Cricetulus griseus: one gene and its partners. The protein of the gene in region 3 binds, or shares a complex with, the protein of the main gene of each other region. Links are inferred from orthologs where the notes say so. Each region holds a gene or a part of one and is shown on either strand. Other genes may lie near its edges.

Region 1 (4,018 bases), about 55 Mb from region 3:
GTTGTAATGCTCCATTATCCTTGGATTGGTCTAGAGTTCAACAGCGCCGTCTTCTGGCAGTGGGGTGGAAGTGACGGCCGTAGAGTGTAGGAGTGTGTGCGTGTGTGTGCGTGTGTGCGTGTGTGTGTGTGTGTGTGTGTGTGTGTGTGTGTGTGTGTGTGTGTGTGCGCTCCCGCGGGCGCGCGCGCGCGAGAAAGCACTTTGATTTTGACCCAGAACTCCACATTCTTGATGAGTGCTTAAACAGATAAAAGTTCTAAGTGACAGACTCCCATCCACACCTCCCAGCGGCTGGCTGGCATCCTGCCCACAGGACCCCTCCTCTTGAATGCATTTTGTGAGCAAATGGAATATGCAGGGACCGCTATCTTTTGAGCCTCTCCAGAAAATCATCACCTCAAAAGAAAACAAGTGGACTCCATTGTAGCTCACATCGCCTCCTTGCGGTGGCTCCCAACCAGTTTCGTTGAGGGGCTCGGGAAGGGCTTGGGGTAAATAAAACAAAACAAAACATCAGAACAAAGGAATGAAACACACTTTTCCCCCACGGTGTTTTGTAGGAATAATACTCGAGTAGAGGGCCAGGATCTCTGAGCCTATACAGCACTCGCACGACTTTCTCACGCAACCAGACAGGGCCTTTCCTTAAAGATAACCTGCCCAGGAACTGGCGATAGCCGGCCAGTCGTCAGAGTGGAGAAGAGGAGCGGAGGGGGTCTGAGATTATTAGGCCAGTACTCTTGCTACTGGCGTTGTTTCCCTAACCCCGTCTAAAGTGCTTTGGGATCTAGCCCTCTGTTTGTGGCCCCACCCAGGCTCCCTGGTCCCTGGTCTTGGGTCCAGCTAGTCCTCCAAGGGATTAATCCTTGTCCTCTCCTCTTGATCTTGTTTGCTAATCCCTCCCAGTGTCCTGCAGGTTTTAGACACACTCTCTACCCGACTCTAAGTTTCTTCTTCCTAGAGCCCACCAACGAGACCATCCTACAAAGTCTGAAAGCATTCATGGGGAAGGTAAGTGTGTGTGTGTGTGTGGGGGGGGGGTGTTTAAAGACAGGCTACAGGCTACTCGCAGGCTACCCCAGAGTGTCTAGGGCGGGAACTGTCTTCTTGCTGACTTGGTTCTGTTCTTTGCTGGCGCCTTCGGGCCCCGCCCGAGGACCTCCGTGCGCCCTGGCCGAGTTTTTACTCATCATGCAGAGGTGATCCCAGGCTGGAGGGCGGGCGCAAGGCGTCCGGAGAACCCAGTAATCCGAGAATGCAGCATCAGCCCTTCCCACCAAGCACTTCCTTCCTTTTCCCGAACGTCCAGAGAGGGAGGGCCGCGCATTTATAAACTGGAGCCGCAGCGGAGTAGCATGTCAGAGGCTGACTCGCCGGTACTACGAGCCTGGGCTAGAAACGTCTAGGCTACCACAGGGGCTAGCTGTTGTCGCCTGAGGCGTCCGAAATTCCCTTGCCGGTGCTGGGTGCCTGCACCGTCTCTTGGCTAGCATTTTCCCGGGAGCTTGCACGCGAACCCCTGGACAGCATGCTTGGGGTTCTTCTTCTGGGTTTGTTGGCTCCAGCTGGCCTGGGGATCTCCGCACTAACCAAGTTGCAGTCCAGAGGCAGTCAGTGCGTGGAATACGAGTGCTTCGCGCTTTTCCAGGGCCCCATGAACTTCCTCGCTGCCAGCCTTGCCTGCGAAAGCCTGAACGGACATCTAATGACAGTGCGCTCCTCAGTGGCTGCCGATGTCATCTCCCTTTTGCTGAGCGACGACAGTAGTATGAACTCACGCCCCTGGATCGGTTTACAGCTCCCGGAGGGCTGCGGCGACCCGGGGCATTCCGGGCCTTTGCGCGGCTTCCAATGGGTTACAGGCGACAACCACACCAGTTACAGCAGGTGGGCGCGGCCCAAAGACCAGGAGTCTCCACTCTGTGGCCCGCTGTGCGTCACGGTCTCAACAGCAATAGCAGCAGCACCGGGTGAGCCGGCCTGGGAGGAGCAGCAGTGTGAGACTGAAGCCGACAGCTTCCTCTGTGAGTTCCACTTCACAACGTCCTGCAGGCCTTTGGAGGTGGATCCCCCAGGTCCCGAGGCTGCCCACCTCTCCATCACCTACAACACACCATTCGGCGTCCGTGGTGCGGACTTTCAGACTCTGCCAATAGGCAGCTCGGCTATTGTGGAGTCCCTCGGTTTGGAGCTAGTGTGTAGAGCCCAGCTTGGAATTTCGGAGGGACACTGGTCTCGGGAAGCGCCTGGAGCCTGGAACTGCAGCGTGGAAAAAGGTGGCTGCGAGTACTCGTGCAACCACAGCATGGGCGAGCCCAGATGCCTCTGCCCCACAGACACCGTCCTGCAGGCTGATGGTCGCTCATGCATAAAACCGGAGGTGCCCTCGTGCACTGACCTTTGCGAGCATTTTTGCGTCGCCAACCCGGACGACCCAGGCTCGTACACCTGTATGTGCGAGACTGGCTACCAGTTGGCAGCTGACAAACACCGGTGCGAGGATGTGGACGACTGTAGGCAGGGGCCCAATCCATGCCCGCAGCGCTGTGTCAACACCAAGGGCGGCTTTGAATGTCTCTGCTATGATGGCTTTGAGTTGGTGGATGGAGAGTGCGTGGAGCTCCTGGATCCGTGCTACGGATCTGACTGCGAATATCAGTGCCAGCCAGTGAGTCCCACAGAGTACATTTGCATCTGTGCTGAGGGCTTCGCACCCAAACCCGGGGAACCGCACAGGTGTGAAATGTTCTGCAATGAAAGTTCATGCCCGGCTGACTGTGACCCTAACACTCCTGATTTTTGCCATTGCCCTGAGGGCTTTATTCTGGACGAAGGTCACATATGCGTGGACATTGACGAGTGCAGTCAAGAGGAATGCTCCCGCAATGAGTGTCGAAATCTTCCCGGCTCCTATGAGTGCATCTGTGGGCCTGACACAGCTCTTGCTGGCCAGGTTAGCAAGGACTGTGATCCCACCCCTGTTATTGAATACAACGAGGACCATGGCTCTGGGGAGCCCCCAGTCAGTCCAACACCAGGCTCTCCCACAGGTCCGCCCTCAGCAAAGCCAGTGCATTCTGGCGTTCTCATTGGCATCTCCATCGCCAGCCTGTCCCTGGTGGTGGCGCTTTTGGCGCTTCTATGTCACCTGCGCAAGAAGCAGGGAGCCGCACGTGCAGAGCTAGAGTACAAGTGTGCATCACCAGCCAAGGAGGTCGTACTGCAGCATGTAAGGACTGATCGGACGCTGCACAAGTTCTGAGGGACTTTGCTCCAGAGACCCCAGGGTGCCTTTGTCTTTCCTGGTTCAGTACCTCTTCTCTCTATCTCTGGCCTCCCAGCTGTGCTCTCTGGCAACTTAAAAGCCTCCTGGCTGACACAAAAACTGATAACCGGAGAGGACCCTGCCCCATCCTCGTGAGAAGCAGGGGTGAGGAGGACTTGAAGCAGGAGAGCCCAGCTTCTTCCAAGTGGATACGGGACACCTGGGTGGGGGTGACAAATACACAGTGAAGATCAGACTGCAGAGCGTCCCAGGCCCTCACCTCAGGGTCCAGGATGTATAGGCGCTGCTGATCTTTAGCCTTTAGGCAAACCTTGACCACACAGGCTAGAGATGACCCAGATATTTATTTTTTTAAGTATTTAGCATTTTCTTCCCTTCGGTTTTTCCCTGCCTCTACGTCTCCAGTCCCCTTGTCCTTTCTTTCTCTGTGTCCCTCCATTTCTTCCCCTCCCCTTCACACCCCCTTCTCACTTTTCTCCTTCCAAACCTCATCTTACTTTGCTTTCACCCTCCTCTCCAGACAAAACTCTTATGTGAAACAGAAAAGAAAAAACACTACAAGCAAAAGTTGTCTTTTTCACTGGCTTTGGCAATTTACTTGGAAAATTCAGGTTTCCAGAGCAAAATAATTTTAATGAAAGTTAAAATGTTACAGCTGAACACTAGTTGATAATGCTGGAATGTCACAGAAACTAAACTCAAGGAGATTGGGGGTTTTGTTGTTGTTGTTGT
Region 2 (4,159 bases), on a different chromosome or scaffold from region 3:
GAAATTGGTGCTCATAGCCCCTAGGACTTAATCCCACAAGTGTCTTTTGAGTATCAGGCATACATGAACTAGTGTGGGACGTTCCCAAAACAGGGTAAGGAAGGCAGGAAGCCATAGTTTACCCCACCCTGCCCACACATTTCTTTTCCCTGTGGCCACTGATTTCCTATCACTCCAGGTCACCTGTCTCTCCAAATGCTTCCCTCTGGAACTTCCCATAGGTGACAAGGGGGTTCCAATGGCACCACAGGAGATTTGTGCCTTTTGAAACCTCGGGCCTAAAAGCAGGGATCAAATTAGTAACATCACAAATTCTGCCTTTGTTTTTGCTAAGTGCTGCCGCTGAGTTCTAACTTAATGGAAGTATTTGCTTTCCCATAAATACATGTAAACTCCTACCTCTTGTCGTAGCCAAAGAAAGCACTGTCGGTGGCAATCAAGGACTGAAGCATTTTTAAAGCAAATGGCTGTAATTGAAGTTCTCCGTGTAAGTGACGCCATCCGCACAGTTTATGGATTTAGCAATTGTTCTGCCCTGTTGTAGCTTTAAAGCTACCACTGAAATTTGTTTTAATTAACAGCCCTGTAATTTAAAAAAGTTGTGTGTGGTACATTAAAAGAATCAAGTCTGGGTGGTTATAAGAAAATCCCGACAAGCTGAATCATTCCCTCTCTTTAAAACCTTCCAAGTGGTCTCTTGTGACACTTGGTTTCTGTCTACCTTGGCCTCTATCAGATAGCCTACCTATTCTTCCTTTGTCCTGCTGTCCCTTTGCCTGGCATGCTCTTCCCACATCCATGCATGGCTAGTTCTTTTCTCAATATTTGACTGTCCTCACCGGTGTGCCTGCCACAGAGGTGGCATTCCCTAGGGTGTGGCCCTCCTATGGCCCTTCATTCACCCATATCACTTTGCTTTATTTGTGGCTTTTATTCTTCTCTGCAGTTACCTAATAGCTTCCTGGTTTTTCCCTGTGTCTCTCTAGGATACTCTTGAGAGGGCCAGGGTCACACCCATCAGATTTACAGTTGTCTGTCTAGCACTTACAGTAGGGCTTGGCACATGGAAGACTCTTGGAAATAACACTTTAAATGACTGACAGAGTTACAAGATTTAAATACTGATTTCAGCCTAGTGCCTGGTACATACTAAGGACCTAGCAGATGGAAATGTACTGCTTTCCAGCCCTGTCTGTCTAAACCCCATGCATTTGAGACTAACTTAGCACAGCGTTCAGTTATCATGAGCACAGGAAATCAGACCTAGTTGAGTTCAGAGTATTCATCCCTTTGTGTTCACAAAAGAGTGATGTGTTTCTATCTGCTTTTTCTTTTAGGCTGATCCTGTTGGAAGGAACCATGAATTGGCATTTTCCCTTCTTCATCTTGACCACAGTGACTTTGTCTTCTGTGTACTCCCAGTTCAACTCTCTGTCTCTGGAGGAACTAGGCTCTGACACAGGGATCCAGGTTTTCAATCAGATCATCAAGTCACGGCCTCATGAAAACATCGTCATCTCCCCACATGGGATTGCATCCATCCTGGGCATGCTGCAGCTGGGGGCTGATGGAAGGACGAAGAAGCAGCTCACGACGGTGATGAGATACAGCGTAAACGGTTCGTGTGTGCTCTCTCCTTCCATTTGTGAGGCCTTGCCATCAGTCCTGCATGTGAAGGGTCCTGGCTTTGTCTCTGCTTAATCTGAGAAGCAGGGCATCCAAGAAAAGTCATGCAGTGACATCTGGAACATAGGGCCAGGGTCTTTTAAAGGAAAGATGACATCCCCAAAGTTAGGTTCTGTAGCTGTTGGGTTTTGTGTTACCTTTGCCTGCCAGCACTACTGTTTTCTCCTAAAGGAAATCTTTGGTGTTGTAAGTAAGCATCTTTGTAGTACATGTCCACATTACAGACTGGCAGTATGGGAGTGAGCTGGCCAGTGAGCTCTGGGGATCTACCTGCCTCTACTTCCCCAATGCTAGGATCACAGACATATACCACCACACTGGCAGGTTTTACATAGATGCTAAGGATCTGAACTCAGATCCTCATGCTTATGTGTCAAGAACTTCACTGACTGAGCCATCTCCCCAGCTACCTTGTCTGCTGATTTGAAATCACTTATAAATCTGAATTAAGAAGCTAAATGTCTTTTTGAAAAAATACCCAGCCTTGTCTAGCCATTGAGCCTGGTAACTAACACACTTCTAATCATAGCATTTGAGATGTGAGACAGGAGGGTCAAGAGTCCAAGACCCATCTGGCTACATACCAAGCCTATCTCAAAGAGATGAGATGAACCTGGAGATCTAGCCCAGTGCTGAGGCTGGGGCTTGCCTCCCGTGTACAAAGCCTTGGGTTTGATATTTAGTTCCACAAAAGGACAAACGAACGAACAAAAAACCCAACAAACTAACAACAAATACGGTAGAGGATGATGAGAGAGGCTTAGTGTTATTGAAAGAAAAGCTTGTTTTGAATTGCCTGCTTATCCACAGGAACAGTACGTGTCTGCTGGTGGTATTTCCCTGTAGGTTAGTCCTCCCTTTCCACAACCATAGCGCCGGAGGGAACAGGACTGTTTCTGAGCTCTTCTTTGCTGTCATGCACACTGAGTGCGAACAAGTCGTGATTCATATCAAGGCAGCAGTTACCTCATTGGAAAGTGATGGAGCTTTCTTGCCACATTCTCTCGCCCCCTCCCCGCCCCTTCTAGCTGTTGAAGCTCTAAGACTCTTGGAGCTGGGTTTGTGGTAGAAGAATGCTTTTCCTTGGCTGTAGCTGATCATTGCCACTTCCTTTGTGTTTTCAGTGTGGCCTTCATATTGGGGGGGGGGAGTCATATGTTGGGAGTCCCATATACCCAGTGCTATCCCCTGTTGACAGAGAGTAAACTTTACATGCTTTTGCAGTTTGCCCACTTATTAGATGTAAGGAACGTTCTGTCTCTGGCTGGGACATTCAGGGTTGTTGGTGATTTATACTGCCTTCGTGAGTCACTGCTTAAATTTATGGCCTTTCTTGTTGCCATCCAAGCCCTGTCAGCCAGCATAGTTCCAAAATAGCAACTGGAGTTGTGTCTTGTTTTGGTTTGGTTTGGTTTTAATGCTGATCCACCTTGATTGTAGATCGGCATCTTCATGTGTTGCCCTGTTGGCTACCAATCTACCACTACCTTTTCTCCCTCTAGAATTGCCAACAGTCATATGTAGATGGTAATGTCAAGATTCATAATATATTTAGGCATGCTGGAGGCCTTCTTTGGAGCTCAAACTCAAACACTATTTATTGTAGTGATAATTCACTAAGGAAGATGCAAGATTGTTTGAGGATATGGAATATGAGCCCTGATCTTTTCCCTCAGGGAGTGTATTAGTTCCCTTTATTCATTGCTGGGACAAAATATCCTGGCAAAAGCAAGTCAATGAAAGGCAGGATTTATCTCAGTTCACAATTTGGAGGAAAAATGATGACAGAGGAGCTGGAGGCAGATGGTCATGTTGTATCCCTAGTCAGGAAATAACAAAAAAGAAACCTGGTGCCCAGGTCACTTTTTCCTGTCTTATTATGTCTGGGACCCTAGCTGAGGGACTGGTACCTCCCTGGTGTAGGCTGAGTTTTACCACCTCAATCAACCCTCACAGACATGCCCTGAGGTTTTTAATGTGATTCTAGATCCTGCTAAGTTGGCTGGTAATTGCTTATCACAAGGAGGGACTGTACATGTAGAGCGAGCAGAGTCAGAAAGTGCCAGAGCTGGAACTTGGCCTTGGAGGTGACTTTTGGCCCCCAAAGCCTGCTGATCTCCATACAGCGGTTTCCCCATAGCATGGTGTTAAGGTGGATGAAGGTTCCAAAGTCTGGTCCATAATGTAAAGCTCTCCTTGTGGATCAGGAGATGGCCTGGCCCTGGTATTCATGGAATCTGAGGAAGATGCATGTTCAGACTGACAAGTCATCCCTCAGACTCTGCCAAGGTGACTCTGGAAGGATGCTTTAGGACAATATAATTTTGGAAAGACCTCAGGTGATTAGGGCAGTCCTGTAATTCAGCTCCCTGGGGAAACCCATCTTACATCCTTATGACATAATTTTTTCTCTGTTTTTCATGCCCCCTCCCCCAAACTAAATGAAGCATGAATGAATGGCTGGTGTAAAATA
Region 3 (3,502 bases):
GAGTATAATACAATTCCAATAAAAATACCAAATAAGCTCTTATTTGTTTGCTTGGATTTTGTTTTGTTTGAGACAGGGTCTCTCTATGTAGCCCTGGCTGCCCCATAGCTAGCTTGCTATGTAGACCAGGCTAGCCTTGAACTCACAGAGATCCTCCTTGCCTTGCCTCCAGAGTGCTGAGATTAAAGGTGTGAACCACCATGCCCAGTTGTTTGCTTATTTTTTAAATAAGGTCTACTGTAGCCAAGTAAGCCTCAAGCTCACTATAATCCACCTGCCTCTACTCCCTGAGTGCTGAGGTTACAGATGTACACCACTCCACCTGGCCTTCTCTTACCTCCCTCCCCAGGACTGCCAGATTTATAGCACTTCAATCCCTTAGGCCTCCCTGCTGCTGCTCAGACCTACCAAGCATTGGCCTACCTCATGACCGAGTCTGTCCCAAAACCAGGATCATACTCCCACTCTGTCCAACCCTCATTCACTTCTTCCAGTCTCTGCTTAGCCTCCACCTTCCTGAGAAAGGCCTTCACCAACCCTCTCTGACACTTTATTTGGTTGACGTTGTCCCTTGCAGTCTCCTTTACTCTGCTCCTCTCCTCTTCAGAGCTGTTATCAAGAATTGGTGCTCTAGACATTTTATGTATTGGCATATCCCCCTAGGAAGGAAGCTTCCTCAGGACCACCTATTTGGGTCTCTGCTGTGTACCCTCAAATGTTATCTTGGACCCAATAGGCATTCAAGAAGTATGTGATAAGTAACTGAATAAAAGTCCTTTCCCTACCTAGGACCTCCACTGAGCTACATATATTGAGCATTGAGCAGGAATTAATGGCCTCAGGCCAAACACACTCTCTCTAACTTCACACCTCAGTGCATGGAAACTTTTACCTTCCTTTTACCATCAAAAGGTTCAGCCACTTGCCTAGAGTCTTCTGACTTGTACAAGCCAAGGTATGTGCCCATACCACATCCCAAGTCTACCAATCCCTGTTCCTGACCCAAGACAAAAGGCTTACCAGCACAGAACATGTTGTCAGTGATGCGTATCCGAGTGGAGGCCTTGCACACCGACCTTTCTACAATGGGCAAGTTCACCACCTGCAGGACGCTGGGCTGTATCTCGCTGATGCTGGTTGTCCATGTCTCCCGAAGGTTGCCCCAGCCTGTCACCCGCCCTTTGTACCCAGCCTGGAGCAAGCTTTAGGGAAAGAGAGGAACCCAATGAGAATTGTCCCTGACAGCATCTAGAAGCCTTCTGATAACCAACTCTATTTCCCAGAGACCAACATATAAAAACCTAGCAGAAAGCTGGGCGATGGTGGCGCATGCCTTTAATCCCAGCACTCGGGAGGCAGAGGCAGGAAGATCTCTGTGAGTTTGAGGCCAACCTGGTCTACAAGAGCTAGTTCCAGGTCAGCCTCCAAAGCCACAGAGAAACCCTGTCTCGACAAACCAAAAACCAAAATAAAATAAAATAAAATAAATAAATAAATAAATAAAAAACCAAAAAAAAAAACTAGCACAGAAAAGGACTTTTGCATTCACACCATGAAACTGCAACCTGCAAATGTGTGCCAGGCCCCAAGGTCCAGAACCCAGGCCAAATCACAGCAGAGGCCTTGGTGCTGACCTGGTTGCTGTCTGCCTGTCCGGCAGGCACACAGGATGAATATAGTCGCTGAAAGGCACAGGCTTTTTGAGTTTGAGCAGGGCGATGTCTCGGTCCAGGTTCTCCCGCCAGTTGTATCTGGGGTGAATGTATATCTTTTCCAGCATGGAGATCTTTTCAATGTTCCGCTCATACCTGTGCAGATCCCAACAGAAAAGTCAAGAGCTGTAGACCCCCCAGTGAGAACACTCAGCTCACTGAGGAAGGTCACACACAGTCTGCCCTGGGATTCTGGGAGGTAGGATGACCACTGAGCCACCACCTCTTCCTTGACAGCCCTCTGGCAGCTTCCTCCCAGTCCAATATCCACATAGAATTTTTGAGTCATATAGCCAGCAGACATAAATGGGCACAAGCCACATGTACTATTCAGAGTCACAACTGAAAGCGACTCCCACCTGGACCGTGTCCTGGTGTCTGGAGTGGGTCAGGACATTGCCCAAATAGGCTTTCCCAGTGGGGATGCTGAGAGGTTATACAGTGGGAGCCACATCTCACCTAATGGGCCCTGAGGTCCCAGCCTGTCACCGCCAGCCACCAACTTCATACCTGGTGCGAGAATGCTTGCCAATGCGTACCAGAAGGTCATTCTCAGTGAAGTTCTTGTCCCAGGGTGGGTACAGAAGGCAGTGGGCGGCAGTAAGGACCCACCGGTCACTGATGAGACTGGCCCCACACAGCAGCTCTTGGGGACTCTTCCGGAAAAGCATCACCTGCCTAACGGGAAGTAGAGTGCGTTAGGAGCTGGGACCTGGTCCTTCAGCAGTCCTAGAAGTGGAAAAAGAGCCTAGATTAAGAGCTACTGGGCTGGAATGGTGGCACAAGCCTGTAATCCTAGCACTCGGGAGGTGGAAACAAGAAGGATCACAAGTTCAAGGTCAGTCTCTGCCACATGAGACCTTGTGGCCACCCCCACCCCACCCCCCAAAAAAGAGAGAGAGAGAAAAAAAAGAAAGCTTGTGAGCTAGTGAAATAGCGCTGCCTCCAGGTTAGAATGACTCGGTCCTGGGGGACCAGAGCTCTTCAAGTGTAGACTTCATATAGTTTAGCATAGTTCTGGAGTCAGAAGATTTGGGTACAAGTCCTGATTGTATTATAGTGTGCCTGAGAGTGAGTTACTTAAGCTCGCTGGGCCTCAGCTCCACCATCTATCTGCTTAGGAGACATGGTAAATAAAGCCAGGCGGCTGGGATTTCTCTCGGGATACGTAGAGGGTGCTAGTGTCACTTGAGGAGCCAAGGCTTGTGTGAGTGCAGCGGCTGTGGGTGGGACAGGACGCACCAGGGAGCGATACCCATCTCAGCATCCCAGCCCTCCACGATGCGGCCATCTATGTAAGAGTCAAGCAGCTCCTTTTCGGTTTTGTCTTTCCGCGACTTCTTCTCGAACAGAGGCCGAAGGCCGCAGTCTGCAGTGCAAGGCCGATGGTGAGGGGTCTATCCTGCCCTCCAACCCTGCGTCCCATGGACACGCGGGTGCCTCACCTGCCTCCCCAAAGCCAAAGGTATTCTCATCAAAGAATGTGTGGAACTCCCCGTCCGTGGTGCGCCCTCCGATGGACTCCTCCACATCGTGGATCTCCTCTTCCACCGCCTCCTCTGTAAAAGATTGGGAGCTTAGATCTTCCCAAGCCCCTGCAGGCATTTGACTTTGGAGGGCATTTGACTCCAAGATTAAGAGCATAGTTACTTCTCAACCACCAGGCAACAACCTCTCAGGACCTCCGTTAACTCAGCTATGAAATGAGACAAGGACCTACCCCTAGCCAGGTTTCTGTAAGGCCGTAATGAACCCACTTGCCCTCTGCCCCTGAGCTCTGCTCACCACAG

Evidence for each region.
Region 1: the proteins of F2 (region 3) and Thbd are in contact, whole or in part, in a crystal structure (PDB 1DX5), measured with the Homo sapiens proteins. The link is inferred for Cricetulus griseus from reciprocal best matches to the Homo sapiens genes F2 and THBD. Residues at the interface, in NP_000497.1 of Homo sapiens: Phe382, Ser385, Pro386, Gln387, Leu423, Arg425, Thr432, Arg433, Tyr434, Arg436, Asn437, Glu439, Lys440, Ile441, Met443, Lys470; in NP_000352.1 of Homo sapiens: Ser424, Cys425, Glu426, Cys427, Tyr431, Ile432, Leu433, Asp434, Asp435, Thr440, Asp441, Ile442, Asp443, Glu446, Asn447, Gly449, Phe450, Asp479.
Region 2: the proteins of F2 (region 3) and Serpine2 are in contact, whole or in part, in a crystal structure (PDB 4DY7), measured with the Homo sapiens proteins. The link is inferred for Cricetulus griseus from reciprocal best matches to the Homo sapiens genes F2 and SERPINE2. Residues at the interface, in NP_000497.1 of Homo sapiens: His406, Tyr410, Pro412, Trp413, Trp455, Arg456, Glu457, Asn458, Leu459, Glu509, Thr510, Ile542, Asp562, Ala563, Cys564, Glu565, Trp590, Gly591, Glu592, Gly593, Cys594; in NP_006207.1 of Homo sapiens: Val225, Arg288, Ser355, Ala356, Thr358, Thr359, Ala360, Leu362, Ile363, Ala364, Arg365, Ser366, Ser367.

What each region holds. Positions count from the first base shown.
Region 1 is NC_048599.1:30,602,466-30,606,483, forward strand, and holds the start of Thbd (thrombomodulin), read left to right. Parts: upstream 1-1,218; 5' UTR 1,219-1,528; coding exon 1,529-3,262; 3' UTR 3,263-4,018. UniProt on the Homo sapiens protein: Endothelial cell receptor that plays a critical role in regulating several physiological processes including hemostasis, coagulation, fibrinolysis, inflammation, and angiogenesis.
Region 2 is NC_048595.1:432,522,924-432,527,082, reverse strand, and holds the start of Serpine2 (glia-derived nexin), read left to right. Parts: upstream 1-1,359; coding exon 1,360-1,618; intron 1,619-4,159. UniProt on the Homo sapiens protein: Serine protease inhibitor with activity toward thrombin, trypsin, and urokinase. Promotes neurite extension by inhibiting thrombin. Binds heparin.
Region 3 is NC_048599.1:85,136,316-85,139,817, reverse strand, and holds part of F2 (prothrombin), read right to left. Parts: coding exon 3,498-3,502; intron 3,272-3,497; coding exon 3,158-3,271; intron 3,082-3,157; coding exon 2,955-3,081; intron 2,391-2,954; coding exon 2,223-2,390; intron 1,809-2,222; coding exon 1,635-1,808; intron 1,203-1,634; coding exon 1,021-1,202; intron 1-1,020. UniProt on the Homo sapiens protein: Thrombin, which cleaves bonds after Arg and Lys, converts fibrinogen to fibrin and activates factors V, VII, VIII, XIII, and, in complex with thrombomodulin, protein C. Functions in blood homeostasis, inflammation and wound healing.